Linked DNA regions of Drosophila melanogaster. The protein of the gene in region 4 purifies or fractionates together with the protein of the main gene of each other region. This does not show direct contact. Each region holds a gene or a part of one and is shown on either strand. Other genes may lie near its edges. The genes, in order: hpo, Strip, Fgop2 and Cka.

Region 1 (7,416 bases), on a different chromosome or scaffold from region 4:
CCTGCATCGCCGCTGCGGGCAGCAGGATAGGCAAATCGGTGCTCCACCTGGATAGTAATGAGTACTACGGGGATGTTTGGAGCTCCTTCTCTATGGATGCTCTATGTGCCCGCTTGGACCAGGAAGTCGAGCCTCATTCTGCATTGCGAAACGCAAGGTACACCTGGCATTCCATGGAAAAAGAATCAGAAACAGATGCACAATCCTGGAATAGGGACTCAGTGCTGGCCAAGTCGCGACGCTTCAGCTTGGATCTATGCCCGCGCATTTTATACGCAGCCGGGGAGCTGGTGCAGTTGCTCATCAAGTCGAACATCTGCCGCTATGCTGAATTCCGAGCCGTGGACCATGTGTGCATGCGCCACAATGGTGAAATTGTGTCCGTGCCCTGCTCCCGTAGCGATGTCTTCAACACCAAAACACTGACCATCGTGGAAAAGCGCTTGCTGATGAAATTTCTCACCGCCTGCAACGATTACGGCGAGGACAAGTGCAACGAGGACTCGTTGGAATTCCGGGGACGAACGTTTCTGGAATATTTGCAGGCGCAGCGGGTGACCGAAAAGATATCGTCGTGCGTGATGCAGGCCATTGCCATGTGCGGCCCCAGCACCAGCTTCGAGGAGGGTATGCAGCGCACACAACGATTTCTGGGCAGTCTGGGCCGCTATGGCAACACACCCTTTCTCTTTCCCATGTATGGCTGCGGGGAATTGCCGCAGTGCTTCTGCCGTTTGTGCGCTGTTTATGGTGGCATTTACTGCCTAAAGCGAGCCGTTGACGACATTGCCTTAGATTCCAATTCGAATGAGTTCCTGCTGAGCAGCGCAGGGAAAACTTTGCGTGCCAAGAATGTGGTCTCTGCCCCTGGCTATACACCAGTTTCAAAGGGCATCGAGTTGAAGCCGCACATCTCACGTGGCTTGTTCATATCGTCCAGTCCCCTGGGCAATGAGGAGCTGAACAAGGGAGGTGGTGGTGTAAATCTTCTTCGACTACTTGACAATGAAGGTGGACGGGAAGCCTTCCTAATACAACTGTCGCACTACACGGGAGCCTGTCCCGAGGGTTTATGTAAGAAACTTAAGAAAATATGTGAATTATTCCTTTTTAATGAATTAATTTTTACAGATATCTTCCATCTGACCACGCCAGCGTTGAGCGAGGATCCAGCGTCTGATCTAGCCATTTTCACTAGCCAACTCTTCGATCAATCAGACGCACAAATAATATTTAGCTCATACTTCACAATTGCTGCCCAGTCTAGTAAAAGTCCCGCTGCCGAGCATATTTACTACACCGATCCACCTACCTACGAGCTGGATTATGACGCGGCCATTGCCAATGCTCGCGACATATTTGGCAAAATGTTCCCAGATGCCGACTTTTTGCCACGAGCCCCAGATCCAGAGGAGATTGTCGTGGATGGTGAAGACCCTAGTGCCTTGAACGAGCACACTTTGCCCGAAGATTTGCGGGCACAATTGCACGACATGCAGCAGGCAACTCAGGAAATGGATATACAAGAGTAGTCATACTAAAATAAAAAGGAGGTTTCCTTGGTCTACATATATCATTACTTATTACAAAATTTTCTTAAGTATCTTTCGAATAAGTTATATATTGTATGCAATTTTTTGATTCATATATTCCTATATATTTATTATGTAAATTATTTATAATTGCTAAAAGTACTAGGTATATATAAATGTTTAAATGTGAGTGTTTCTGTGCATTTTGCTTTGATAAATATATGTTCGAAAAATATGCATTCCAATGCGTATAAAAATGTTTCTCCTTTATAAGTATTGCTTGACGGGTTACTGTTTTTATCGCACGAAGACAGAAAATAAGTGTTTTAGAGATAAAGGTTAATAGTTACCAAGGAAGAACGAATATTATAAGTCTTATTAAATTATGATAAGGCCTGGGCAGTTCACAATACGGGCAGCTACAATAAACGCAAGATAAATTTTATTCGAGCATACCTATTTATATTAAAAGACAGATCAATGAAAGCTAGGATATAAGAAACCAAGCATAAATTTGATGAAATCTAACAGAAAATATGCTTTCGTGCTGGAAGATACTGCCGATGACTCCTCTTTTCTGTTTTCACTGCATTTTACAATAAAGCTTTTGTGTTTTCATTTCTTGTGATTGATTTTAGACCCTTCCACCAGGTTAAATTTGCACAATGCACGAATAATTTCTAGAGGATACAGATGATGGGTCTGTAAGATTCAGTATTCATCTGCAAACTTAACCCAATGTAGAGGCAATTGAGTGAGTTGAGATTTCATAATCAGTTGTCTTGCGAAATTGTGAGTTGCTTTACCTATATCTTAATCAGATTATTATTGATGTTCTGCTGGCGTTTGCGCTTTGCATTCATGGCGTCAACAATTGGCTGCCGCTTGGCATTGTATTTCTTGTTTAGCTGTTCGATCTCCAGCTCCATTTCGTGATCGATGTTGCACAGCCGCTGGTTCAGATCGTCGAAGGTAAGGAACTTGAGGAACTCAAACTCACCCTCAACATAGGCGTGCGATTGCGTATGCATATGCTGATTCTGATATGCGGGCGGCGGTTGAGCTGGAGCCGCTGCCGGTATTCCCTGCTGTCCCATTGGCGCAGCGTTGCTGAGCAGCAGATTCGGTTGATTGTTGAGCGCGATGAGTTGTTCGTTCATCAGGGGATAAGCCATCAGAACTTGCTGCTGCTGCTGGTGCTGCTGCAGACCATACTGATTAATGGCGGAGATCTGCTGGAACTGCATTTCCATGTTGTGCTCCCAGTTGTTCAAATCGTTGGCCCCGCTTGCCAGATGCTGTTCATCCTGCTGTTGTTGTTGCTGCTGCTGTTGTTGTTGTTGTTGCTGCTCCGCTGCTGCCGGAGAATACTCTGTGGCTATGGGTTTTTCATCGCCACGGCCATCTCCCGCATTTTTGCGATCGAAGTGCTCCAGGAACTGCGGCCTGTAGCGGTTTCGCGGCTTCTGGTCGTCGTTGTTTTTGGCCGTTGTGGAGTCGTCCGAATCGGAGTTGATTACCATAGTGCCTGAATAACAGACAATACAATAACAAATGGCCAGCCCTTTCAAAATCATTTACATACCCAAGTTCGACTCCAGCTCCACCATTGTGCCGCTGTCAACTGCCGGCATGTCCAGAGGAGATGCTGCCGAAGAGGCCGCTGCAGGAGCAGCTGCCTTGGACAGGTTCCTTAGTCCACCCGGCCCCAAAGTGCCCTCATCCACACCTTGCTCTGCATGCGCTATCATGGTGGCATCTGAGGCTGAGCTCTGTTGGTATTCACCGAACTTCTCCGGCACCAGAGTACCTGGATCCTCCATAAACGCGTTGTCCGTGATGTGTTGTTGCATTCCGTTTTCCTGGGTTGCCAAGCTCTTCGCCTGACTAGCAGCCAACACGCCCCCAAAACTGCGATTGGCGCGTTGCTGCTCGCGAATGGCACAGGTCTCCTCAAGCATAGGCTTTAGGATCGATCGGTGCTTGGCGTTGCGTATGAACTCGTGCTCCAGCAGTTCAGTGGCCGTTGCCCGGTCGTCTGGCTCCTTTACCAGGCACTTGCTCACGAAGTCAATGAACTCTGTGCTCCAGCGATCCGGTTCCCGGAACGATGGTGGTGGCTTCTGCGGAATCATAAAGATGGCTCGCATGGGATGGATCTCACCGTATGGGGGCTTTCCCTCGGCCATTTCCAAGGCGGTGATGCCCAATGACCATATGTCTGCCACACAGTCGTAGCCAATCTCCTCAATCACCTCGGGGGCCATCCAGAAGGGCGTTCCGATCACAGTGTTTCTCTTGGCCATTGTGTCCGTGAGCTGACCAGCGACTCCGAAATCGGCCAACTTAGCATAGCCTTCGGTATTGAGCAGGATGTTGGCCGCCTTGATGTCGCGATGGATCTTGCGACGCAGATGCAGATAGACCAAGCCCTGCAGAGTGTCCGACAGAATAGTGGCTATCTCGTCCTCCGTCAGCGTCTTTTTGCGCAGACGCATAATGTCGGAGACGCTGCCGGCGCCACAGTACTCCATGCAGATCCACAGGTCATACTGCTTGAAGTAGGAGCCGTAATAGCGCACCACATACGGCGAGTCGCATTGTTGCATAATGGATATCTCCTTAATAATCTCGTGCAGGTCGGACTCCACCGGCACCAGCTTGATGGCCACAATGGAGCTGCTTTCCTTGTGCACTGCCTTGTAGACTGATCCATAGCTGCCCTCGCCCAGCTTGTACATAATGTCGAAGACCTTTTCCGGCGGCTGCAGAAGCGACTCCTCCGACAGCTTCTTCAGCTTGAAGAAGGAGCAGGAGGAGGATATGTTGGGCGATTTCATATCTACAACGCTGGTCACCTCTGGCTCAGACATTGCGAAAAATTTTCTGATTTAGCACGAGAAAACACAGATAATTGGCTATTCACAGCGACATATCACACTTTTGTTCTTTATTCGCACTCGATCGCTAGCCAACACTAGTAGTTCTCAGTGCCCTCGGCACTTTGCAACACGCCACCCGCACAGAACAGGTGCGGCGTTGCCAGACAAACGCCGAACACCGCAGAATGTAAACAAAGCACCAGTGCTGCATAGCAGAATTAGCCATTTATCGATAAGTTCTCTTGGCGCGCTTTTTAAAACTTAATTTATTGGCTCAGAATTATAAGGTTAAAATTAAATTTACAACTCACGCATGCTTACCTCTTTTTTGAAATCTTTGCTTGATGATGGCATTTCTATGTTTTTCTCATGGCTATTGATTAGATTTATGACGATTTACTTTGTACTTTGATTAAAAAGATTTAGTAAATTCTGATTAACATATAATATTTATAATATTAAGTTGTTTAGGTAATTTGTTTCACTTTGAATACGTTTTAATATTTATTACTTCTGTATATAAAATTAAATTGCTTTTATGGATCGATTGTTGTTGTTCATCAAATAGAATAAAATGTTGGCATGATTGACATGAGCTGTGCCAATTTGTCGTTGTTAATCTGCGGTTGCGCCCCCAGAAAACCCAGATCCCCTTCATTCCGATGAGTTCGCTGACCTGAAATGCCCAATAAAAGTGCTTGGGAAATCTACATGCAGTCCGGGGACTTTGGTTAGTGCATAGTCGAATGATAATAACAACATAACTGGCGCCTATAAGGCTAACCGGCTTGTTATTGTAACAAATGCGACTGGAAGAGAGCACCGCAGCGAATGCGAGCAAGCGGCTTTAGCTCCAACTGCTGGCTTATCGGTCACTAAGCCGCCCCAGGCCTTAGCAACGTGCTCCATAGAAACGACACGACACCCAACAGCAACAGCAAAAGCAACGCCAACACCAGGAGTGCCAGCCTGGCTACAGAAATTCCTTCGCTCGGCAGTTCGCTGTTTACACTACGTGGCTGCACATCGTCGCATCAACCGGAAATGGCCATGGCCCAAACGGCACGCACCGCGACGGCAAGGCGTCCCACGCACGACTACCACAGGCCGACGCGCTCCAAGTCCGCCAATCCGGCGCAACTGCGTCCACTTAGCGGCATCCATGGAGCGGCGGTCTCGTCGCGTCCGCGCTACGTTCCACCCTTCTCCATTCAGTCGCAGCAAAAGAACACGGTCGTCATCGACGGACCCATCCACGAAACCGCCCCCAAGACAGCCAGTGCCAGGAGTCGGGTGCCCAATCCGAAAAGTGCGTTAGTTTGTTTATTTGGGTGTTTCGCCCATCGGTATTTGTTTCCCTAATGACATCCCTGCCCACATTTGCATTTGTACTGATTTTCAGTTCTGAGGCGCCAACAAAAGTCCATGTCCACCTTCAACTTGGGCATGGGTCTTAATGGCTGCTCCACCGGTGGGGCTAATGATCCGGGACGAGGAACCCTCTTCCGAATGTACTTTGACCGCGGCGACCTGCCCATAAAGATGGAGTACCTCTGCGGGGGCGACAAAATCGGATGGACGGTGAGTGGTGGGAATTATTTGGTAGGGCGCTAAATTCCATTAGGTTCGTTGTTAGTTGACTTATTAATTATACTATATATATGGTATTAAGTTATATTGTTCGAAATTTGGATAGGTCATACATTTAAACTTAATTCTTTTTAAGCCCTTACATTCGGGTAATGATTTATTTTTGTAACCATAGCTAGAATTTTCCATATGTCTGTTGGCAAACTTAAACTTCAACTATACAAATGTGAGTCAATGCAAATAAAAATCAAATGAAATTGCACGACTGTCACTAGAAAGGGGTAACCTTACCACTCGGTGACCCATAGACAAAGCCCATATTTGAATTTAGCTCGAGTTTCGTACACCTGCGTGTCCAATTATTTCAAGTGTTGCAGGTGAAAGCAAAAACCGAGTAAATAATATGCCATTGTCTATTTCCGGAGTTAGTAGAGCTCCACGGCTGACGGGCAAGCGATTCCGTCCGGAATGCGACTACTGACATTCAAAACGTCGCACCGTCCAACTGTCAGTCAATTTCCCATGGAACTCCGCTGCAATCGGAAAGTTATGTGTAACCAATTCCCACCCACCTCGCATGAGTGTGTGTGTGACCCCTTTGGCTGGTTCAATGTCACAGACCTTGGATGGCACTCCATATTCGATGTGGAGTCCACATATGCGGCGTATGTCATTTGGGTGGTGCGTTTGTTTATCTAGGCCGAAATGCCGTCGTGACAGGAGAGTGATATGTGAGTGACACTGCCTGATTTACGTCACGGGGTCGAAGGTCGATGTTGGGGAAACCCATATGTGAGGCTCACGCAGCTGCGATGCCAGCGATGTCGCCTTTGACTTAAATATAAAGTTGCTGTCTTCTTAAAATCAAAGTAAAATTCCTATTCTGAGTCATTCAGTCATATATGCAATACAATCTGGTTAAGATAGTGGGTTATATTATAACCCTTTGTTAGCTCAAATCAACTAAGCTAAGCTGGTAACTATACTCAAAGCAGACTCTCGAACAAAGATTAGTCTAGACTTAGCACTGCAAAGTCTATAGGCAGGTACAGGCCCATTTCTCGATGTGTTCTAAAAATTTTCCACTGACAACGTAAGCAAACAAAGAGCATCTTAATGGAAATCAGCTAGGGCGCCTAACCGGCATGGCGTGCAAATGTACACTTGCAAGACTTGCGCCACCGCCGGTACACGAACCAATTTCGAACTTGGAGCGGCTCTATTCACCTTTGACCCGCCAACGGTGTCACCTCTTCCCGTATCTCGCCTAGGTGGACATTGAAAAGCTGGACTACAGCCTCTATCTGCCGCTCTTCTTCGACGGACTGGCGGAGACGAAACATCCCTACAAGACCTATGCCCGCCAGGGGGTCACGGATCTCCTCTTGGCCGGGGGCGAGAAGATACACCCG
Region 2 (10,016 bases), on a different chromosome or scaffold from region 4:
ATGAGGACTCGGCGGCTGCTGGTGGATGGAGGGGCGTCGGCTGTGATTCCGGCGACGGGGCAGTCGTCCGTTCTTGGACATAGGTGACTGACCCTGAGCTGGCGGCTGCAATCCCAATCCCTGGCGAGGAGACAGCTGCTGGGGCTGCTGTTGCTGCTGGGTTTGAGACACCTGTTGCTGCTGTTGTTGCTGGGACTGGGATAGCACCTGCTGCTGTCGCTCCTGGATGCGTTGAAACTGCTGATCCTCATCCCTCTGAGGACCCGCCCTCAGCTCGGCCGGAGCCATACCATCGACGTACTTCACATCCGCCGGATTTGTGGCCGGTTGCTGTGCAATCGAGATGTTGACATGGGTGGCCGCATCCACCTGGCTGCAGGCCACCAGCAGGAGCACCAGCACTCCTCGGAACATCCTGTTCTAATCCTGTTACCAATCCGAAGTCAAAAATCCTAGCTGTGTGTCCAATCACTGCTGACCACCACCAAAGCTGACCGCTGTCTGATCGATAGTGGAGTGTGCTCCGCATATTTATACGGATTTTGGGTGGATTCGGAATCAAAATTGGGGGAGCGATCGCATTCGCAATCGCGATCGCGATCAGTGTCAAAGTCAACTGCAGCACTGGGAATAGCAATGCATACACACTATGGCGACAATAGCTTCGATAGCTTCGCTACTGACCTGGGCCAAACTGTTTAGGGATGAGTCTCAGATGCTTAACCTAGTTCTACAATTAAAGGCATTCGAGCGATCGCATTTGAGCGATGATGCATTCAACAAATTGCTGTCATCGCTTCACACTTGTGTGGCACGCACCAGCACTGAGAGAAAAGGGGCCTAAGTTCGTTCATATATCACAGATATATCATTTAATATGCGATTTTATTAAAATAATTTCTTGGGAAAATTTGGGAAAAGTTCTTTCGGGTAAAAGAAGCTAATCCAATAGAGATCTTTAATTTCGCTCCAGCTCATCAGTTTGGTTTTTCTCCGCCTGATCTCCACTGCGAATTTCGATGGCATCCGTAAATGGTGAGTGCAGCATTTTCATGTAATTGTCGGAAGGTCGGAGTCGCCGCTCCATTGGCAGCTGGTTTGAACTTGAAATCCGGCCGAGACGTTGAACTGCTCCACTGGAGGAGGAGCAGCTCGAGATCGGCGCCCCAATGGGCTGACGGATTCGCATTTGTTGGTTTTGGGGGTGCTGGTCAGGCAAACTTGCGCAATCGAAGTTTGGCGAGCATTTGGCGAACACTCGGAGCACTCGAATTCGGAAAGAAGGTAAAGGTTAATGTGAAGTACTTTTGCTTCTTTCTGCACTTAAAGTAACCACCAATAAGGTCAAATTGGTAAGGGGGAATATTTTAAAACAGATATTGCCTACTCACAGAAAAAGTAACTTTTCTTTCAAAAATATCTAAAGGATATTAAAGCAAACTTGTTTTGAATATCATTATAGAGAAAGGCAAATATGGGTTTTAAAATCTAAAACTCAGACTAATTGATCAAGGTCCTTTCAAAGATTAATTAGTTTTAAAACAATGCGAGCTTTCGTGGTCATTAAGTTGAACAAGTTTTCAAAAATTGTGCTCTACCGTTGAAAACATCATACCTTTCTTTTGTGAATTTCGTTTTTCCCTTAATATGACATCTCCAAATTTCACAGTCACCTAACAAATATATATGGCTTGGAAACAGAAAAATAAACTCCTTTTTGACACTTGTAAAAACCAGTTAAGCTGTGGCGCCGTAAACGCCAGATCCTCGATGATGCAGTCCATCCAGTCTAGGATCAACGTGCTTAACACCATTGCTGCTTCCAGCAAGCGGATTGAACGCGCCAGCGTTGACACGGTAAGTCCGAATTGATACAGTTCCAACTACCGATCAAAGTACGTGCCCGGCGTCGCCAAACACCCAGGTGATAGTGTGGTAACCACGAATGGCGTTTATTATGTTTGCGGGTGGGAATCAAAACCAGTAAGGAGTAGACAATATATATACCATGCGGTGCATGTGGCCGGCCACAAGACTATCTGTGGCCAGACGGTTACAAGCTAAAGCTACGCGAAAACACAGTCCAAAAGAGCAGCTAACGTCTAGGGCACATCTACAGCAGCTTTTCAATGTCCTTGGCGATGTCCATGGGATCGGTGGTCGGGGCATATCGGTTGATGGGCACGCCCTCCTTGTTCACCAGAAACTTGGTGAAGTTCCACTTGATTCCGCTGCCCAGGGTGCCGGTCTGCTTGGCCTTTAGGTATTTGTACAGCGGCGCCGCATTGTCTCCATTCACATCGACCTGCGGGGGTGGGGCAAGTTTAGTGACTCGGTCTACAGCAATCGGCTAGCAGCTTTAATAGTCTTACCTTGGCGAACACCTCGCCGATGTCAGCCTTGGAGTCGCGCAGGTGGCACACCATGGCCTCTCCATCGGCCTCCGGCATCTGGGACCCAAACTGATTGCACGGGAAGTTGAGGATCACCAGGCCGCGCTCGCCGTACTTCTCCTTTAGATCCGTCAGCTTCTCGTAGTTGTTCTTGGTCAGGCCGCACTTGGAGGCGATGTTCACCACCAGGACCACCTTGCCCTTGTACTTTTCCAGGGAAACATCGTTGCCATGGGTATCCTTCACGGTGAACTCGTAGATCGAGGCGGCGTTCTTGTAATCTCCGTTAGCAGACATGTCGATCTGGAAGCAATAGAAAGTGGGAGTTAGAATTGGGTAATTACTAGTGGCTGTGAAGGCTTGGGTCGATGTTTTGATCAAGAGATATAGATATTTATAGCCTTATCTTCAATCGGGGTATGAAACACTATATTCTGTATCAAAATCGACCCAGGCTACGCGGTTCATTGCAGTGAACAGGCAACAGAGAACAGAGAACAGAGAACACAGGCAGTGGCAAAGGCTACAACGTTTAGTTAGGCGCAGAATCAAGCAACTGAGTTAGTCAACGGGTTAGGATCTAGTCAACTAGCAATCAGCACTACTCACGGCAGCTGCTGTGGAGTGCTGGGCGGCTGAGGAGATGGCGTTCATGGGCGTGGCCGCACAGCTCACGGGAAGCATGATGGTGCAGAGGCGAAGGCACTGCCTCTGACCGCGACTCAGCTCGAGGACGGGGCCAGGGGTCCGCCTCATCGAGTAGCACCTGAGGGCCTGGCGGGAAATGTTCTGAAACTGCCTGAGACTCATTCTTTAAATGCTGCAAATAATAACCGGGCAGAATGTTCAAATTTAGTGAAAGCTTAGGCAAGTGAAGGAATTACTGGTGTGGATGTGTACGTTGTGTATCAGATCGAACAACAATCGTTTCAAAACAATTCAAATGGGAAAATATAAAAATCAAGTCCACATTTCTACTGATTAACGAAATAGTTAAGTAGATAAGAGCAAGTAGTAAGTAAAGTAGTAAGATAGCTCAAAGCTATCTTATTTCCGAATAAGAAAGTGTGGAAATGTATGTGGTGTATAGATTGTATTCGACAACCCGACGACAAACATCCAAGATTATTTCACGTTTTGATAATGGGTTTCCTAATAGTTGTATGTTGTTTCATAGACATTTACGAGGGTGCTATCAGGCTTCTGGTTACAGTGACGCTGCATAATTCATCGGGGTCAAAGTCAAGAGCTATATGTACATATATGTATATCCCAGCACCCTGTGAGTCACGCAACCTAGTGGCTACGCACAGTGACCTTTAAGCTGGCCAGGATTGGCCCACGTAACCCACGACGCTGCCTCGTTACCGTCGCTGATTGCACATGCATGCCATTGTTCGAGTTGATTGGACAGCAATTTGAAGGGATAGTTAGTGTTGTGGGTAATTACTTGCATGGTGAAGTAGATGTACGATCCCAGGGCGATTGCCACGGACCCCAGAAAAAAGTGGACGATGGAGCGGCCAGCCATTACTGAGCTATATATCGACTATGTGTACGATTTCACAACGATCTGCTGCGAGTTTCGGATGCAGGGATACAAATATAGAATGCGAATGCCGAGATTCTGCAAGCTCACGCTGATATGGGCGAAAATCGGGAGCAAAGTTCAGATTCGATTCGACTGTTTTCCCTGCTCTATATACATATATTCTTGTCACCTCGACCAGCTGTGTTTTTGGGCTGATTATGCTGTGCTTAATCTCGACAGCTGGGTATTATTGTTTGGGCTTACTTATGGCGTAATAGCAATGACTAATGGAACTGGGCACTTTCTCACTTTCGAAGCGTAAATAAAACTGAAACCGGCGACTTGCAAAAACCCTTATTTATATGTGTAGGTGAAAGCACTTGTAATGTTCTGGTCTGGTCACACTAGGAGCACAACTTTTCCAGAGTTGCCAAGTGTGGTGGTTAAGCCCTACTTTCTAAATTTAAGCATGAAAGTAAAAGCCTTTAATTAGAGCTTCAAATTGTATATATCATTACTATTGATTATCATTTTGTAAACACAAAATATCAAAATGAAACAATCCCTATTCCTAATATTAGTACAAATCAAACAGAACCCTTATTTCAAATTTAAAGCAGCGGCAATTGCATCAGTCGCTGCCACATCCGATCGAACGGCCTTGCCAGACGGCCAACACCATTTGCTGTTTGGTATTTTCCGACCACACAGCAAACGGTCGTACGAATTTTCTTCTTTTTCCATTGTGCGTTTTTGTTTTTGGCGAGAAACAAATTGCAGTCGAAATTACCCAGTGAAATGCAGTGCGAATTGCTTAGTACGTCCATGTGCTACTAAGACCAAGTGGGAGAGAAAACCAGCGAGCAGGAGCAACCACGCCCACGCCAGGCGCACCGCCCACCGCCGCAGGATACACATACACGAGTAGCCCACACTCACGCACATACACTTCCACACAAAAGAGATCCCTGTGTGGCGAAAAAGGATTGGCGGAATGATGCTCACATCCATAAACAACTCCTTTGAGCAGGACACCCACGATGCGGACGCCAACTGCGACGGGCCCGACCTGGACTTCGTGTACGCGGACGTGGATGGCTATCAGAACGAGATCGCTGAACTGTATAGCTACACGGAGTTCAGCGAGTTTCAGATGAACGTGAAGGCCTTCGAGGACCAGATGGAGCTGTACGACCTGCCGCCCAACTGGCAGAAGCAGGACTCCGCCTCCCAGCGCGGCATCGTGATGAAGCTGGTGGACCAGCTGGAGGTCTCCGATCGATCCTTTCGCATGCAGGCCGCCCGGTGCATCCTTTACCTGGCCCAAGGCTGCTGGGCGGAGGTTCAGTCGGACGAGGAGCAGCACCAGATCACCAGGGACAATGTGCTGGTGCTCTACCAACTCGGCGTCTTCGCCTCCTTCATCGACCTGCTCAACATGGAGATCGAAAGCGCCTGCTCTCCGGACATTGTGGCCGTCAAGATCACTAACGTCACGCTTGTGGACTCCACGGACATTCGGGTGATCCTATCTGTGCTCTACATCATCACAGAAACGATTCGCGATGAAAAGGAAAAGGGCAGCGAAGACTACAGAGAGCTGGCCGACTCCTTTGTGCAAGAAATCAACTCACCACTACCAGATGGCGAACTTCTGGCCGTCAAGCTGTTGGGCATGATCACACGGTTTTGCAGTGGCGCAGCACCGCAGTTCCCCATGAAGAAGGTTGTCCTCCTGCTGTGGAAAGTTTCGCTGCTGGGACTGGGAGGCATGGATGTGCTCAAGAATCTCAAGAACGAGTATCGATTGAAGGTGGGTTTGGAACCCATCACCGAGGACACGCTGGAGGTTACCAAGTGCATGCGAGCCAGCTCACCGCCGGCCACAGCTACTGATATACTGGAGAACCAGTATCCCAAGCGGAACTTCAAGTAAGCGGAGTCTTAGATCACTTATGTACACTTTTCAATACATTCATTTTCCTTGCCGCACAGACGCTCCCTGATGAAGCAGCGTTTTTTGGACGAGCCCGAGCAGATAGACATGGAGATGGGCGGCAACGAGGGTCAAAATAATGCCAACAATGGCAGCGGCAATGGCGGAAACGGGGAGGAAGAACTCTCTCAGTACTACCGACCCTACGATGACCCCTCTTCGTCGGCATCCACCACCTCGACGGCAAATCCAAACAACCAGCCTAGCCTAACACAGCCACCCGCTGCTGTGCCTCCGGTACAGATCACGGCTCGCCTGCCCTGGACGCCTAAGGTGCGACAAAAGGACATTGACCAGTTTCTGGACATTTCGCGGAATAAGTTCATCGGGTATTCACTGATTGGTGACCACGAGAGTCTGGCTGGACTGCCGCAACCCATTCACGAGGGCTTTAAGACGCTGCAGCGGCACATGTATATGAGCCTGGCCGATGTGCAAATTAAGAAGGAGGAGGACATAGCTAGGAACCCCATTTCCACGCACGAGGACGAAATCAAACTGACCCCGGCTGAGGTGTTGTACCAAGCCATCCTGCCAAACCTGCCGCAGTATATGATCGCCCTTCTCAAGGTCCTGCTGGCAGCTTCGCCAACGTCCAAGTCCAAGACGGAGAGCATCAACATAATGGCCGATGTGCTGCCTAGGAAGATGCCGCTGACGGCCACCCAATCAACAAAGCTAACCGTCGACATTGGTCGGCACAAGGAGATCATTGTGAAGGCTGTCTCGGCCATCATCCTGCTATATTTAAAGCATTTCAAGATAAACCATGTTTACCAGTTTGAGTTCATGTCGCAGCATCTCGTGTTCGCCAACTGCATCCCGCTGGTTTTGAAGTTCTTCAATCAGACAATCACGGAGTACGTGAACACCAAGAACTCCATTCCTCTGCTCGATTTCCCGTCGTGTGTGATTGGTGAGCAACCGGATTTGAGTGGCGATAGCTTTGTGTATGGCGGAGAGATGTCCGATAAGTCCTACTCTTGGCGGAACGTGTTCTCCTGCATAAACCTGCTGCGCATCCTCAACAAGCTGATCAAGTGGAAGCACTCGCGAGTGATGATGCTGGTGGTATTCAAGTCGGCACCAATCCTGAAGAAGACGCTTAAGGTGCGCCACGCCATGATGCAGCTGTACGTGCTGAAGCTGCTCAAGATGCAGACCAAGTACTTGGGCCGCCAGTGGCGGAAGTCCAATATGAAGACCATGAGTGCAATTTACGCCAAGGTGCGGCATCGTCTAAACGACGATTGGGCCTTTGGCAACGACTTGGAGTCGCGTCCCTGGGACTTCCAGGCGGAGGAGTGTACGCTGCGGGCCTGCGTGGATCGATTCAACCTGCGACGCTATCCGGAAGCCACCCAGAAGTGTGGAAACAACGGCACGGCAGCTCAGAATGCGGAGAACGCCCAGCAATCCAACATGATGGCGGGCAACAATGGATGTGGCAATAATGGCGACGCAAATGGCTATGGAAACAACGGTGGCGGTGGCAATGGCGGCCACAACCAGCAGCAGCAGCTCAACGACTATGGTGTGGAGGGTGGCTTTCCCAGCGACGAGATCCTTACCCACTCGGACTTTGCCTTCTTCGGTCACTCGGGTTGGTGGGATCGCAAGGTCGAGCTGACGGATTACTTCAAGGCCAATTACGCGGTCTGGCTGGAGGAGGAGGTCTACAACAGTCAGACCGACTGGGACGCCCTCTAGGGCAGGGCTGCCATCGGTGAGCAACTGCATACCGCATGTGCCCCGTCACACTTTTATTTACGTGATTCCTTTTTGAATTACAGCTGCTCTAATATCCACATGCGCGTCATAAAAGCAAGAAGTTATTAACGTAATTGTAAGCATTAAGAAGTACATTGATATAATCCATGTAGCCCGACCACGATTGAAACACCAACTACTCACTGAATTGGCAATAATTTGGCAAGCCACGGGCCTCCGCTGCGCTCCTCTTCACTAACTAGCATACGCGAATACCATACCCATAGCGATGACAAGCCTGTATATGTAATGATTGTATTTTTTAATTTATATATTTATTATTTTACCTGTTCTGCGAGCCCTTGAAACGGATCGCGGCAATCGGCTTCTGTAGCGGAATAAACAAATTTGCTAGTTCGAAAACGACACTTGGCTTGAGGTTAAATGTCTGTTTATTCGTATGTGTGTTTTGTTTCGCACAAGAAAAAAATATATAATTCTTTTAGGTCATAGTCTTAAAGCTAGGTTTAATTTGGTAAATATACACTACGGTATTTACAAGGTGCATATATAAATATCCATTATATAGTACAATAACTTTTCGACTCCATAAAAACGCCCCACACCAAATGCCTCGTTGGGGTTTTTCTAAATTCCATGACGTAATAGTAAACAATACAATATAATAGTTAGCACAGCTAAATATGAATTCCTGAACCGAGTTTCTTCATTTCACAATCTGGTTACAAGAGCATTCTCCACAAGAGAGACCATGTCACCCATAATAACTATCTTAATACGAAATAAAGACTAACTAATAATAGTTGTATTCTAGGGCGGGTCGATTTGTTTCGATTGTTCCGTAAAAAGAAGCTAGAAACTGTAAGCAAATTGGTCGTGGAAGTTGTAGGTTGGGCAATCAAACAATCAAAATATTCTCTAAACAATACTGCACTTTTCTTTGGACTTTGCGGTGCTTAACATTTGCTCAAGTTCCAAAAACTCACATTTTTAATTTGAATTAAATAATTGATTTTAGATCATACTTTTAACAATTTAAAATCGAACCACCCTTAGAGTAGCTTACAACTATAACGTAATATGGGAATTTTAGCCACGATTCGGAGAAGTAATCCAAACAATTTTGAACCGTTTAACATCCTACTACTATACAATATTCAATTATTGTACTCTGAATCCAAGGACAAACTATTGCTCCATGGGACACGCCGACGGCATGACGTTGTTATTGCTCGGACCCATGTAGAGCATACCGAACCGTTTCTGCTGCGGCGGGCAGACGACGGGAGCAGGAGCTGGAACCTCGCAGCGCTCCTTGAAGTAGTGGACGATGCGATGAAGGACGAACGCGAGGATCTTCTCTTTGGCGATCTCGCCATTGAGGAATGTAATGTCCTTGCAGTCGCGGTACTCGCTGAAGTTCTTTTCGTAGTGCGGCCACACACAGAGCTCGAAGTAGCCCGTGACATCGGGTGGATCGTATGTGCGCTTACTGCGCCGTTCGAAGCACTTCTCATATGGCAGATGGAAGTGGTACTTAATGTTGCACAGGGCCAGCAGCTCCGGCTGGTTGAAGATCATGAATCCCTCGACCAGGAGGAAATTGACCTTCTTGTCCCTCAGCTGGGCGGCAATCTGCGCATTGATGCTCATAATGTGCTGCTGCTGCTGCTGGATTTGATGGTGCTGGTGGTGGTGCTGCTGGTGATGGGGGTGATGTCTCGGGTGCTGCTGTGGCGGATATTGATAGACCCCGCCATTGGCCTGTTTGTAGTAGTTCGCATTGTACTGGTACTGCTGCTGGAACTGCTGGGCGTAGTGCTCGAAGTTGGCATACGTCACAAGGTGCTCCTGTGGCTCGGGAGCCACATGGCGCCCCTTGATTATGTGCGCTATGTCGTTCAGCATCTTGGCCATGTCCAGCGAGGTGATGAGCTCGAAGTTGATGGCGTTGAGCGCCTCATTTCGCTGATGTCGCTTGTCCTCCACGGGCAGAAAGTAGTCATCCTGCGAGATCAGACGCACCTCGCCAATGGTGTACGGCGAGTTCCACAGCGGCGCTCCTCTCAGACCCTTGAAGTAGTCGTGCAGGCTGTGGGCTAGCGTAGTTTTGCCACCACAGGTGACTCCCGAGATACCAATGACCAGCCACTGCGGCATCTTGTCCACGACTGACTATCGCTCTTCCTTGTTTTTCAGTGGAATCGTACGTTCGCGTTCGCACCGAGCAAGATAACCCCCCGGATAACCCCCTTAATCACGTTTCACTCTCAGGCTCCAGATGTGGTAAAAGGAGAACGCGGCGATGCCGCCGAGGAAGATCACCCCGAACACGGTGGGCACAATGAAAGCGTACTTCAGCGGT
Region 3 (6,717 bases), 1.1 Mb from region 4:
TGTACACGTTCATCAAATACTTAAACATTTACATTTCGTTATCATTCACTTGGCCATTGGTTCTAAATTGAATAGCTGCCTGGTTTGATGGCTATTGTCAACGTGAGTTGGAAGTGCAGATGTAGATCAATGCCTTCGATTAATTAACTATCCCTCATTGGAAGACAGATATATTAACTCTGAGAAACAAAAAATGAAACTGATTTAAAAATTAACTTACTAAAAAAAGGAAATCAGCAAGTCGATTTAACATACATATGTATGTATATCTTGGAATTTATTCTATTTTTAAAAAGAGGTGATAATATGCATTCTTATATTCGCATTGATACACATATACAAATATTAACTTTAACTATAATTATAAAAATGTTTAAAATCTGGATTTAAATGTAACCATTGCTAAGAATACTTAAAAAATGATAAGTAACTTACTAGTTACTAGTACTATGATTGAAGAAAAAACTCCTAACAACAAAAGCTTCACATCCTTAAACTTTGACTTTTCTAATTCAATTTCAAATCATCCTTCATATCTGTCACTTCAGTCAGGCATAAACAATCGAATGGAAATGGTAAATATAAACAATAACAAATATGTATCCATCTATTTGAGTATTTTTAGAGCGATCTATGAGTAGAAAGAGAGCGAGATAAGCTGGCACAGGTGGAAGCTAGTTGCGCAGGCGATTTTCCGCCGCTTGCGCATGTTTTTTGTTCTTTTGGCGAAAATGGCGAAACTCAAACGAAAGAGCGCGATGCGAAGAGAAAGGCGAAGAGAAAGCGCGGAGCTTTCACCACTCCTTTCTCTGTGCGCTCTGCTGCTGCGATGATTGCAAATCCCTAGTGCGTTTATAAATAATTACCAGCGTTTTAACCTATTTTCATCTAAGGCGCTCTGTTTTTCGTCGGCGCTGGCACTTGCAAAATGTGTGACTTAATTTAGAACGCAGTGGACTTACACGAAATACTTCCGCATTTAGAATAATTTGCGGCTGGACGACGGGGAATGGGGCCAGCCTCTTGGATGTGGAAGTGGATGTGGATGTTGATGGTTGCGTAACCGTCGGGATTCAGTGCGTTTCGACACGGATTATACAGCAGTTTGGAGCATTGGTGTACATATGTAGATTCTTACAGGGATTGGAATCCCCAAAGCCTTTCGTTCACTTTCGATCACACACACACAAACACTCGGTTGCTGCTTGGTTGATTTAATTTTGGAATATTCACTTTATACAAAACATTTACGGCCACAGAAATTGGCTGTGTTTTATAAATAGCATAGTTTTCTTCTTGCTAAATGGCAGCGCACTTCCCATAAATCTACCCAGACGATTTTCAAATGCAAGACTCTCCGGAAATATCGTTAGATTTGGATCAATAGCTTATTATTAGAGGGATATATCTTTATATCAACCATGCGATCCAGGCAGTTTTCAATTTTTCACCCGATTCACATTCATGTACAAAGGCCAAGCACGTATGTGCCTATATATTTATATAGCTTTAATATAACCGTCGATTGCCCGAGCACTCGAAATACTTATATAGATGGCTGCCATGCGAACCGGGCGCAGTTCCTTGGCACTTTTTTTTCGGCTGCGAACGCGTTGAAAATCGACGAGAAACTAAATTTAAATTATTTCTGAAAGCTTCAACTACCTACCAGTCGTGCGAGAAAAGTGTTTTCCTCAAGAGAACCGATATTTTGGCGCAGAGAATCGATGAGAGCGATTCGAAAATTATTCAAAAATATTCAAGTCCAAGCCAATTGAAAGTTTCAGCCATAAATCTTTACGGGTATCCATATAATATTACTTTTACACTTCAGGTTCCATATTTATCAAAATTACAAAAATGTATTTGATAGAATTAAAGAAAAAAAACACTGTAACTAATAATAATAATAATTACTTCAATAATATCTATTCAAAAAATTGGTTTTCCTAATTTTCCATATTGATTAATAACCAAATTAAACTTAAACAATACAATAATGAAATTATTTAAAATTTTTTAAACCCCAATATTTTGCCTTTGGAATCTTAAGCTTCTAAAATTATAGTTATTACTGCTGTTTTTTTTTCTCATGGCAGATTCTGTTCAACTTGGTTCATTGTGTAATAAGTTGACTTTTTGAAAATTAACATGACTATATCATAAATCTTCTGCTCGATAACCATTGATAACCATTGTGGCAAATGTTAATTTTAGTGGCTATACTTTATTCATATTTAAACTCCACACAAGTATGTGTGTATATCAAGTTCTGATCAGCCTTACTCGATAAGCAATGAGTCATATCCAATGAATTATTTAACCGCTTCTCTGTTTGGCTGGGATTTAGAATGGCCAAATTTAAAAAGCCTTCTAACAAAAATATTCAAATTCATGGGAGGGGCGCATAATAGATGGGATTCTACTCGTAACATCTTTTGGGAAATAACTTAAGAATTAGTTAGCTTACGGAGTAGCAATCTAAAGCAAAGTTACATCTTATTTAAATACACTACTGAAATACATTTGTATGTTAAATTAAATATGCTCATTCCTTTGGTTATTCCCCGATTTGTATTGGAATTTATTTAGCAAACCATAAAATCGACAGGGTACATTGTACATTACATTTGTGTGGGTGTGAGTGTGTTTACCTCGTTTTAAATAATAAACTTCATTGTTCTCAATGCGTATGGACAATATGTTGAAATTCGTATTATGTATAAATTACTTAGAGATTATCAATCGCTAAGAGCTAATGCAGGTTATGTGGGCCCTCTTCGTGCGCGGCCTGTTTTGTGAGTGGGTGAGTAAATACGATTCAAATGAAGACCAAACGAATCAACAACGTTGCACAGCAGCACCTATCATGTTGCGGGCGCTACTGTCGCCTGATCCTCGACAGATTCGTTAGACGTCGTCGCTGGCGGCGGTGCACTGGTTGTGTTGACTGCAGGTCCGTTATTGTTATCATTCGCCAGCGGCTCTTCCCCCGGCGGCGCCGTCTCCAATGTCACACTTGGTGCTTGTGTTTCACTTTGACTATGCACTGGTGCAGTGTTAAATGAGTTCGTGGTGCCGGCGACTTTAGCCGGTTGCTCCGGACTGCTGTACATCTGGATAACCGAGTTGTTGTTCATGTTTTCCACCGAGGCGCCCGATATGGACAGATCGTCGGCGGAGTCGTCCGCCGTACTGTCCGTTTGCACAGCCTTCTCCTCCAGCAGGTGGTCGCTCTCACGAATCGGTCGCTGCGAGGAGCCGTACTGCTTGGAGATTTGCAGCAGCTCGCGCAGCGTTTCGTTCTCCAGACGCAGCTGGGATATGGTCTGCAGCTCTCGCTGCACGACACCGTCATCTACACTTGCAGCTAGCTGCATCACTGCTGCCATTTCGTTGATCTTCTCGCGCTGCTCCCGGATCACCTGCCACATGCGTTCGTTGTACAGCTCCTTAAAGCTAAACTTGCTATCCAGGACCTTGGAGACGGTGTGCTCGCGATACTTTTGCATCATCAGCTCCATGGCACGCTCGTAGTCCTCAATGAAGATCTTTAGCTCGCGATTCTCTTTGAGTATCTCCGAGCTGTTGATGTTTTGCTGCTGAATGCGATTCACCATGTCCGCGTTGGTCTTGTTGTTCGAAATGCGGTTGAGTGATTCAATGTCGTCCTGATACTGGCGAAGGCTCTCCACCAGCCGATTGTTGTTCTCCGCCTCCTCGAGCAGCGCCGTGCCCAGGGCGTCCAGGTCCTTCACCCGACTGGCCATGCGCTGCGCATCCATTATAATCTGGCCCACGGATAGGTTCGACATCCTGCCCAATTCAGTCCAGTTGCGATTTTTGGATTTGTATTGTTTTCGGGGGCCAGGCCCTCTGCTGCTGGCACTGCGAAAACAAAGGGAACCGCTTAAATTTGTGCACTTTCTGGGGCCTACGAGCAGTGTCTTACGTTCGGTGCGGGTAAGGTGCAGCTTCGTCCCTAGCGTAACAGCTTCATTTGATTTTCCGGCCAAAATATGTAGGAATAGAAACGATTTTAATAGAAATTTTGACGACGACCCAATTATTGGCTGACAGCTTATTAAATCCCAAACGCCATCGGATGTTGCACAAATCCCTAACGCCACTCATTGAATGCGAAAAAATACTGTTTCAACACTTGATATACCGCAAATATACCAAAGATTTAAATTATAATTTTGTTTTTTAACTTTTAGCTTGAGATGTCATTTTTTTGGCTAAATCCTTTATGTTTATGTTAAAAAACTCTTTTAAGGTTAAAAGGTGAAGCTACAAGCTTTATTGTCATTTTTGTATAGGTCATTAAGAAGCTATCAGTACAGATTTTGATCTTATCGCGAAAAATGGAAGACTTAGCGTAGAATGGACATAATGCTATGTTCTTAAACGATCATGCATACATAAATCTAGTTATGTCTATTTAAGTACCTATTTAAGTACAAACAGCAAAGGTTTTGTCATTCAAAGTGGTAGATAAAACAGAGGTAGAGGAATAGCATGGTACATCGGGCGTAGGGATGCACAGACTAAAGATCACGAGATTGCGATTACACGCCAACGCTGTTGAGGCTGCCGGAGGAGAGGTTCTCGGAGCGACTGGACAGACGGGGGCGTTTCATGAGTACACGACCCGGCTTGCCGGGATTTTCGATGGAACCCGCCTCTGCGGATTGATTTAGATTGTTGTTGTTGCCGTTGTTGGAGCCATTGCTGCCGCCAGCACGTTCCAGCGTGCGTTGTGAGCGACGCAGCGAGGAGGAGGACATCCTGCGCAGCGTGGGATCGTAGTCATAGCTCGACGGCCGCTGATAATAGGGCGCATCCTGGTCTGTGTCATTCTTCTCCTCCAGCGCCTGCTGCTGCTGCTGGGCGAGTGGATTCAAGGTTATGTGGATGTGTCGTGTTCGCTGGCGCTGCTTGGTGGGCGAGCAGTTGCCCAGCGGCACAAAGTCATCTCTCAGCTCCGCCATCCGTGGCTTGTTTGGATTGTTTCCCCGGCTTCTGGAATTCCTACGCCGGCAAACACAGAAACAGGTGCTAATCAGAAGCAGAATGAGCACTGCCCCGCCGCCGATTGTTCCCGTCAGCATGGGACTCATATTGAATGTCTCGTTATGACTGGGAGTTGTTGTATCGCGGTCGCCCATTTGCAGTGTTGGCTCCTCTGTGGTGCTGGTTTTGGGACGTTGGGTGCGCCCCTGCTTAAGGGCACTAAATTCGGATGCAGAGGCGGCACTGAAGGACTGCAACTTGAACTCGTACATGGTGGCCGTCTCGAGGGGTGCTATTTTAAAGCTTCTAGCATGGGCTCCTTCAATGGTTGCCTTGAAATATTCCCCTGCCGAGGACGAGGGTCGATAGTAGGCGTAGTAGCCAGTGATCAGGTGTTCATCCGCATCGCTGGCTAGACTCCAGTGCAGCACCACAGCGGTTTCAGAGTATTCCTCGATCTCCAGAAGCTCTGGCACCGGCATCGGATCAAGTGCTGCACCTGGCTGCAGGTAAAATTTCGCCGAGGTATTACTTTCCTTATTGTCATTGTTGGAGTAAACGGCTAGGATGCGGAAACGATAGGTGTGCTGAGGCTTCAGGTCCGTCACCGAAGCCGTGAAGCTCTTGCCCAGCTCGGAGTTCCACTTCGGTTTTCCATACGGTATATTATCGTTGGTTGTCTGCCAGTTCTTGCGCTTGCCAACCATGCGGTACTGAACCTTAAAAATGACAATTGGTAACCCATCGTTTCGGGGCACCATCCAGCGCAACATTACGGATTCATCGCTAAGTCGGGTTACATTTGGAGGAGTCGGTGGATACATCTGCTTCTGCCTGGAACCCTGATTGGGCTTGGGCCTGTGTGTACCCCCCGATTCCCGGGGTTCCTGAATCTGCTTGGGATTCACCTGCAGCAGTGTACCCGCACTGTGCTCACCAAGTCTGTTTCGTGCAAAGCATTGGACATAGCCCGCATGACGCTTCAAGACGCTGTGCAATATCAGGAAATTATTGGAGAGCTCAGCCTCAGAATCATCGATGCTGCTGTGACCGTTCAGCAGCCAGTAGATCTCTGGCGTTGGCACTCCTGTGGCCTTACACTCCAACTTCAAACGATCGCCCTCGTTGGTAAGATCGGCCCAGGGTGGTCGCACAATCTGAGGCGGCTGCTCGACATGCACTTTTATGTAGTGTTCTAACGCAGGCCGCACTCCATTATCTTGAAAGCAAATATAGGTGCCAGCATCATTAACTCGGGTGTTGGATATCTCCAAAGCGTGTCCAAATACTTTCGAACGCTTGTTCTTAACAGCTCCCACGACATCGGGACTGCTCCAGACAACCGTCGGTGGCGGTGAGCCAACTCCAGGACACAGCAGCAACAGCGAACTCCCTTCGCGTATGGTAATTTCTTGGGAGCTCGGCTGTCCCCTGAGCAAGTGTGGAGATTTACTCTCCGACCTCTGCTCTGGTGTAACCTGTAGTTGCAGCGAGCCGGGCAGCTGAATTCTCTCGCCAGAGGCAGGATTGGTTGCCTGGCAGGAATAGCTGCCTGACGACTCGGAGGATACATTGCTTAGAAAAAGATTTCCATTGGTTCCGATGAACTCCGGTTTGATTTCCACTCCGTTTCGATAGTAGGACCAACTGGCAGATGGATTCGATTGCACCTGTTGTCCGCAGGACCAGAGCACAGAGTTT
Region 4 (7,189 bases):
TTTTTATTTTCATTCGCAATTAGAAATTACGAATTCCATGACAAATGCGCATTTGTAACTTAATGAGCCCGAGCGGAGAAGCTCCAAGATTTTTCGCTTTACAATTTTTGAAAAATGCTGGCTAACCAAAGGGGTTACGTGGCTGCTCTTGGAATTGTCCATTGCATAATGCTGTTGGGGAAGTGACCATATTGTACACAAGGACATATAAATAGAATTATTAATATGACAAGAGCGCCAGCGGCGTTTGGTTTCTCTAATCTGTAAATGCATTTGCAAACAAATGCTTTTGCAATGGCGAAATGATTGAAAATATATTAGCATTTGCCGCGTCATTCTTGCTTACAGTGCTTTCGAAGCACAAATAATCATTTCTCAAGAATTTGATAATAATTTAAAGGTAAATATGCCATTAAACATTAAAGAGTTATAAATGATAGTATAAGATGAACCTAAATGTTCGCTTTTTTGTTTTTGTTACCTCATATCTGATTGAAATTCAACATAGAAACGTAAATGTTCTTTAAATAAAGAGTTTCCGACCACAGTGCAAGTTAATTGCCTGACAAACGCGACAGTAGGAAAAGCCGACCGAGTAGGAAGTGGAAGTGGATGCATTCATGGGAAGACCGGCAAAACTGAGATTCGTTGCGACAAGGACGTTGCTGCATTCACAGCAGTCGGCACTGACACACAAAGAGATTTGCGATGTGCATATGGAAGTATATAAATAGATCCAGGCGGCCGGGCAGGGAACGGATGCTACGACTGCTGAAACAGAGCCATCTCGGATGGCGTCGCCTCTGCCTCTGCTGCCCACCCGAACCAGATTTATTTTGGCCAAAAACGCCAAACAAGGCGAACAGGTTCATAAATCGCGGCGACAAATTTGCGTTGTCAACTTGGTTCCTTTTTTTTTGTGGCCACTTTTCCACATTATGATGATGCAAAGCAGGGGAAGAGACGGATTTGAATGTCACGTTGCATTCAGAGCGTAACGGACTGTGCCTCGTTATCGATACCGCTCGTTATCTGGCCACTTGGCAGGTGAAAGCGATAGAGCGTGGGTCGACATTGACATTGACGATGGCCATGGAGGCGCAGGGTGGCGCAGGTTGGAGGTGGAGTAATCTCCTTCGAAATTACGATAATGTTATCCAACCCGCGGTTACACTCATTTTACATTTTTTGGGGGCTTTCAGGCTTTTTGGCCATTCGTCTGCGACAAACAGAGCATAAACACTCGATGACGGCAATTGCTCAACTCGATTCGCTTGCATGCGGACATGGCGGAGGCAAGGCGGTGTGGTGGCTCCTCCTGGCCGTTTTCCTTGCATGTTCATGCATTAGCGCCTCGGAAAATCATTGAAATGGAAAGTGAGCCACCGCTGTCGATAAGCAAGGACCTTTTAAGCACTCCCTGGGCCTTGCCAAATTGCCTTGCTTTTGGTTGCATAGTATTCTTTCTAGGACAAACAATTTGCAGTTTCATTGGTTCTTTTATACTAAGCACTATACTGTCACTATCTGCACAAAGTTCACGCTATAAAGTTTACTGTAGTCCGTGAGTCCAGTACCTACTTAATCAATAGTGAATAAAATAGTGGAGGATGAGAACTAAATCAATGTTCAAACTAATAATAAGGACATTGTTAAGATCTTAAGCTGATTTTCTGATTCACCTATCTCAAAGTACGAGATTAATCGAATATTAAAGAGGAGCTATTAGCAATTCAGTATTTAAGGATCACTCACCTGCAATTCGGCCCTGTCCACGTCCCACTGTGATCGCTCCAGCTCGAAGCGCGACCACTCGTGCTGGATGAAGTGCAAGATGCCCGGTATTGTGTATTGGGGCGTTGTGGCCTGCTGGTTATTTACACCGCCGCCCACCATCCCGTTTCCGCCGTCGTCGCCGCCAACGTTGCCCATTCCGCCCACATTGGCGTTCTGTCCACCAGCGTTGAGGCCGCTGATGCTCAGACCGCCGCTGCCGCCACCGCCCAGGCTGTTCGACAGGACACCGCCGATCGAGGAATTGGCACCGCCCACACCGCCGCCTACAAGGACGCCGGCTCCTGTTGCACCGCCAACCGGCTTGTTGTTTATGCCAGCGGTGGCTCCCGAATTGGTGCCCATTGGTTCACGTCGCTCTCAGTGGCTGTGCTGTGTGCCAGGTGTTTCCTTTGCCTGCTCCGGTGATCCTTGTGCCCGCTGATCCTGCTCTCCTGATCCTCTCCTGATTCGTTGCCAGCTGTCTGCCTTCAGGTGCCCAGTGCACGGTCCTTTGTTTGTCGCTCTCTCGGACTTGTTTGTTCACTGGTCCTACGCTATATCCTGTTTGGTGTTACGTTTTTTTTTTTTTGCGTTTTTAGGTTGGGAAAGAAAAGCAAAGTTCGGCACATGAAACAAATGAGGTCATTGAATTTTCCGAATAGAAGGGCGACGAGGGTAAAGGGGGGAGCAGTCGCAGGACACTCGCTGGCTGCCTCCCTCTCGTTCGCACTCTCTTTATGTACTACACTACGTTTTCTCGCACCGGAACCGCCCCCACATTCCCCGCTCTCTCACACGCTCACACTCTCTATCTCTCTCTCTTCCTCTTTACGGTACTCGCGATTCTCTCTTTTGCGTTCTAGTGTTGCCAACGGCTTACGGGAAAAGCGTAACTTATAGCACAAAAAGCCGTAAAACAGCTGATGTAACGCAAGAGTTAAAACGTTTATCAATTTAAGCGGTGGATCGGCTGGTAATCACGTCTTGGAAAGGCGATTATTGGTAGGAAAATTAAACTGACACACACACACACACGCACACTCACCCAGCTGCAGGGAAATTTGAATGGCACACACACATACAAACGCACGGCGGGGTTTTTGGTGGGGTTCTTGTTTCTCTTCGTTTTTTTGTGCTTCAATTCTTAAACTCTTCTAAGTGTCCAGCTGAATCTTGAACTGCGTCTTTGTTTTTCTTTGCTGCCTGGGCAGCCGATGCCAACGTACTCGAACCTTATTTAATAACTTTGGCTCGTTAACTTGACAATTTTGTTTACTATTTACAGCTTTTTCCAAGGAAACGTTGTTGCTACCTTTCACAGGGTTTACACTTTTGTGTGCGAAGAGCAAACGACTATTTGGAAGGGAGATGGAGAGAGCGCGAAGCGGGCAGTTGTATTAGTCCGTAATTTTGTGCATAATTGCACCCGCTTGCAATCACTAATTAATTAAGACGAACGCTGGGGCGATGCACACAAAAAGTCGATTTGATTCGGCCGCACATCAGAATGTTTGGCCTGTAACTCTGAAATAACACACAGAGTAGCAGTGACCGCACAGCCTTTTTCCCGCTCGCACTCGCGCACCTGCACCGTCCCGTCTGCCGTCGTGTATGGCCGTCTCGCTCTGCGAGTCTATATACAAAGAAAAACACACACACACTGGCACACTGGTGTTCGCATATGCCAAAGCCGAGTTAATTTCACTTTGTTTAATCTATCGTTTGGTGTTTTTGCATTTTTTAACCGCGCAAACGGTATTTGCGCGTTTTGCGCCTCTTACTTTGCGATTTATTGCACCGCTTGGCTGTGTTTTGCAATTTCTCTCTTAATTTTCATTGGTATTCACGCGTAATGTAATTCTTAGCAGCGTGACCGCGCCGATAACGATAAAAAATACCACGGGACCAAAAATAAATACCATATGATACCACTTCAGGGAAAAGAAATCCTATTTAATACCACTCACTTTAAAAATAAGTTTTTAAAAATATATATTTTTATTTAAAAAAAGTTGTATTTATAATCAAATACTCGGTACTAATTAATTACTCGAGGACAATTAATTTTGACAAAAGGGGTTTCATTATAAAATATATATTAACCGCTTACACATAATCCCCAAACAAAACAGCGATTGGGATTTAAAAGGTTCTAAGTCCATCATTATAAAAGATCATTTCCGAAAAACAAAAAGAAATAGATTTCAAAATTAGGCGACATCAGCCCGCTGATAAAGAAACATCAAAAAGACAGAGGCTTATTTCAGCGAGTCAGAGACTCCTACTCGCCAACAATCGAAAACATAGAGAAGATATAGTCGCCAACCGATCTGCCTTCTATAGTGTTGCTTATTGTTGTCCCCTAATCAAATTAATAAAAATCTGCATTAGGCTGCTTCGCCGGCCAGCAACAAATGTTTTACACCTACTGTACTTTTCGCAGAACAGAGATCCAAATGCAGGATCGTTTCCATGACTGTACATTTATTCGGATTAGACATTAAATTACACCCTACAGCTATACATACTAACAGTGAACACGGCAAATGCTTAGCTAGCATTGGGCCACTTTCGTTGACTGCGAATAAAAATGATTGGCCGATGCCTTTAGCAGATTCCTTTTGATCGAATTACTCGGATGGCTTGTGTGTCCACCTCTTACAAGAACTCCTCGCACCAATCGTTGAGACAGTTGTAGCAATCGGATGCCTGTTTGGAGCTGGCGTGGCACACCTCCTTCATCCAGTCCTTGAACAGCTCCTCGTCCTTTTTCAGCACCAGATACTGTCCCAAAACGGTGTAGGCCTAAAACGAATGGAAATGATCGTTAGCACTTGACTGGCATTGTTTATTTGCGCACATGGCGTCATCGTATTTACACACGCACCATATCGAATCCAGCGTCCTTCAAGCGTCCACCGAGGGTTTCCCCAATTCCGGCCAGTTCCGTCACCGACTTGTTGCCCATTGGCTCCGCAACGAAGTTCCTGTGTTTCTGCGATGTGCCCGACATGTTTGTAGTTTGCTTTGCTGCTGCACGTTGCGAAATTCCAATGCTTAGCTAGATTTCAATGGCAAAATATTCGCGGCGTTTCTGAAAATGACGCACAGCCAGTGTGGCAGCAAGTGATATTTTCGAAAATGCAACAACACATCTAGATATACTAAACAAAATTAGGCAATGTAATAGGCCACGTAATTCTGGCTTTACTCATTTGCGCACCCAACAATTAACAAAGTTTAATTATTCTTTTACATAGCATTGGCAAAAAATAGAGTTTTATAAGATGCACTCAAAAATGTTTCTTTGAAATTGCGGATTACATATTTTTGTAATCTACTTAATCTACTTAGGTCAAATGCCAGCAATATTTTACATGTAAGATGTATGCTTACATGGTTTGATGTATGGTATTTTACATGACCGTTTTAGATTTTGAATACTTAAAGTTTTCTATAAATTTGAAATTTGTTATAATGTTAGTGCATTAAAGTATTGCATTTGTGAAAAATTTACATAGCCATCGCTGAAAATCTAAATAATATTTAATCTATGTGTACATAAGATGTAGCATTTTTCATAAAAACACTTATAAAAATGTAATTGTTATTGTAACTTATTTAACTAAATTACCGAACATATTTTCAAATATTTATATTGTTCCACTTTTCAATACCGGGGCAACGCACCTTAGATTAGTATGCACCGATGAACTGGGCTTAACCCAATTTAACAGCGCCGCGCTTGGGACGCCCAACTGAGTTGGAATGATAACGCCGAGACCCTTCCGACCGAGGCTTCAACCTGGCCAGCAGTCCGTCCAAAACTCCAGTCTTGATTGACACCTGGCCCTCGTCTAGCTTATCGTACGCTATAAAATCCACACACCCGATTCCCGTGGCACAGTGACGTCGACTTTGGTACAGAGATGTTAGCGCTTTGCTGGCTTTGTGGCCTGGCCCTTAGTTGTTGGATGGGTGAGTTGGGAGTTACGGGGAAACGGATATACATATGTGGCTTTGTCTCACCTGACCGAGATTCGCGCGCACACTGATGCTGAGTAATTAAAACGCTCCAGGCCACAAATTAATTGCTGGGCTGGAACCGGTTTCGAGGATTACTAATGCGTCAGCCGCCTTAATGAGCTTGGATCTGGGAAGCTGGGAAACTGGGAGCTGGGAGCTCCGATCTTTGGAATCCGGCGTCCGATCAGTTCAAGATCGACGTTTAGCTGGTCAAGATGTCCTCGAATGCGCTGGCCTGCATCTGTAATGTGATCAATCCGTGTCGCAACGAGGTGTCCACCACATTTGTGGTGGTGCAGTGGCTCATCACCGGATTCGCTGCCCTCGCCCAAGTGGTGCGACCCGTGCTGCTGCTTTGTAAAATGTTTTCAATTCGATTTAGCCATCCTTCTAAGCATAAGTTTCTGCTCCATTTTAGTTGGCATTCGTGGTGAGGTGGCTCTAAATCAGGAGGATTACAACAAAACCTGGATCTACATGCCCAATGGACAGGGTAAGCCTGAGGTGGCCTATCTGGTGGAACCTCCGCCCGAAAACCGCATCAATCTGCCACAGCTCATCAAGTTCGAGCTGTACGGAAGGTGTGTGGTTTTTTTTTATTTGATTTGAAGAGTTATCTTTCGTAGTGGTCACAATTTGAATCCTTTTATTCCAGCGACTCCAGTTCCAGTGCTGATTTCTGGATAGATGAGAATAACTTTGAGTTTCCGCAGCGCCACAAGCGAGACACCTGGCAGGAGATGGCGGAGAAATTCAATCCGGAACTGGACACCAAGATACTCGTTCACGGCTGGAAGTCCAGCACCATGAGCAATTCGATTCAATCGATTCGTGGTGCCTATATCGAACGTGGCCAGGTGAACGTGTTCGCCATCAACTGGAAGGATCAGGCGGATAATATATACTATCTAACACCGGCGCGATATACGGTTCAGGTGGGACGGGCGGTGGCCAAGCTAATTGATCTGCTGGTGGAGGAGAAGGATGCGGATCCGAATAGGATCCATCTGATTGGCCACAGTCTGGGCGCGCACATCATGGGCTATGCTGGTTCGTACACTAAGTACAGGGTAAACCGCATCACTGGCTTGGATCCAGCTCGTCCCGCTTTCGAGGATTGCATTGGTCCGGAGAATCACTTGGACGACACGGACGCCAACTTTGTGGATGTCATACACAGCTGTGCCGGATACCTGGGCTTTCGCAAACCCATCGGCATGGTGGATTTCTATCCCAATGGCGGTGGACCACCGCAACCAGGCTGCAAGGAGCTGTCGCAGATTTTCAGTAAGTTTTGGGAATTGGTTTCAATTTCTTACAAGCAGAATTGGGAAATTTCTTTTTCATTTTCAGCTGGTTGCAGTCATGGACGTTCATATGAATATTA

What was found.
Region 1: the proteins of Cka (region 4) and hpo purify together in Drosophila melanogaster (affinity purification with western blotting; 2 studies listed by BioGRID, with this or other methods). This does not show direct contact.
Region 2: the proteins of Cka (region 4) and Strip purify together in Drosophila melanogaster (affinity purification with western blotting; 4 studies listed by BioGRID, with this or other methods). This does not show direct contact.
Region 3: the proteins of Cka (region 4) and Fgop2 purify together in Drosophila melanogaster (affinity purification with western blotting; 2 studies listed by BioGRID, with this or other methods). This does not show direct contact.

The regions. Positions count from the first base shown.
Region 1 is NT_033778.4:19,492,344-19,499,759, forward strand, and holds hpo (hippo), read right to left. Parts: upstream 4,514-7,416; 5' UTR 4,406-4,513; coding exon 3,118-4,405; intron 3,061-3,117; coding exon 2,339-3,060; 3' UTR 1,653-2,338; downstream 1-1,652. Other genes in the region: Rep (Rab escort protein), read left to right, coding at 1-1,074, 1,132-1,532; CG15120 (uncharacterized protein), read left to right, coding at 5,459-5,723, 5,817-5,995, 7,276-7,416. UniProt on the Drosophila melanogaster protein: Plays a key role in the Hippo/SWH (Sav/Wts/Hpo) signaling pathway, a signaling pathway that plays a pivotal role in organ size control and tumor suppression by restricting proliferation and promoting apoptosis.
Region 2 is NT_037436.4:3,320,540-3,330,555, reverse strand, and holds Strip (striatin interacting protein), read left to right. Parts: upstream 1-1,684; 5' UTR 1,685-1,686; coding exon 1,687-1,857; intron 1,858-1,929; exon of another isoform or gene 1,930-2,113; coding exon of another isoform or gene 2,114-2,305; intron 2,306-2,372; coding exon of another isoform or gene 2,373-2,696; intron 2,697-3,002; coding exon of another isoform or gene 3,003-3,203; exon of another isoform or gene 3,204-3,213; intron 3,214-3,843; coding exon of another isoform or gene 3,844-3,924; exon of another isoform or gene 3,925-4,291; intron 4,292-4,519; exon of another isoform or gene 4,520-4,918; coding exon of another isoform or gene 4,919-4,954; coding exon 4,955-5,856; intron 5,857-5,919; coding exon 5,920-7,630; 3' UTR 7,631-7,646; intron 7,647-7,713; 3' UTR 7,714-8,072; downstream 8,073-10,016. Other genes in the region: CG14961 (uncharacterized protein), read right to left, coding at 1-414; Gtpx (glutathione peroxidase homolog with thioredoxin peroxidase activity), read right to left, coding at 2,114-2,305, 2,373-2,696, 3,003-3,203; CG12016 (uncharacterized protein), read right to left, coding at 8,840-9,811; Dpm2 (Dolichyl-phosphate mannosyltransferase subunit 2), read right to left, coding at 9,905-10,016.
Region 3 is NT_033779.5:6,941,182-6,947,898, forward strand, and holds Fgop2 (fibroblast growth factor receptor 1 oncogene partner 2), read right to left. Parts: upstream 4,109-6,717; 5' UTR 3,953-4,108; intron 3,889-3,952; 5' UTR 3,816-3,888; coding exon 2,868-3,815; 3' UTR 1,997-2,867; downstream 1-1,996. Other genes in the region: ihog (interference hedgehog), read right to left, coding at 4,572-6,717.
Region 4 is NT_033779.5:8,027,208-8,034,396, reverse strand, and holds the start of Cka (connector of kinase to AP-1), read right to left. Parts: upstream 3,677-7,189; 5' UTR 3,558-3,676; exon of another isoform or gene 2,822-3,557; intron 2,338-2,821; 5' UTR 2,140-2,337; coding exon 1,756-2,139; intron 1-1,755. Other genes in the region: baf (barrier to autointegration factor), read right to left, coding at 4,435-4,581, 4,664-4,789; CG7367 (uncharacterized protein), read left to right, coding at 6,018-6,159, 6,221-6,383, 6,458-7,089, 7,156-7,189.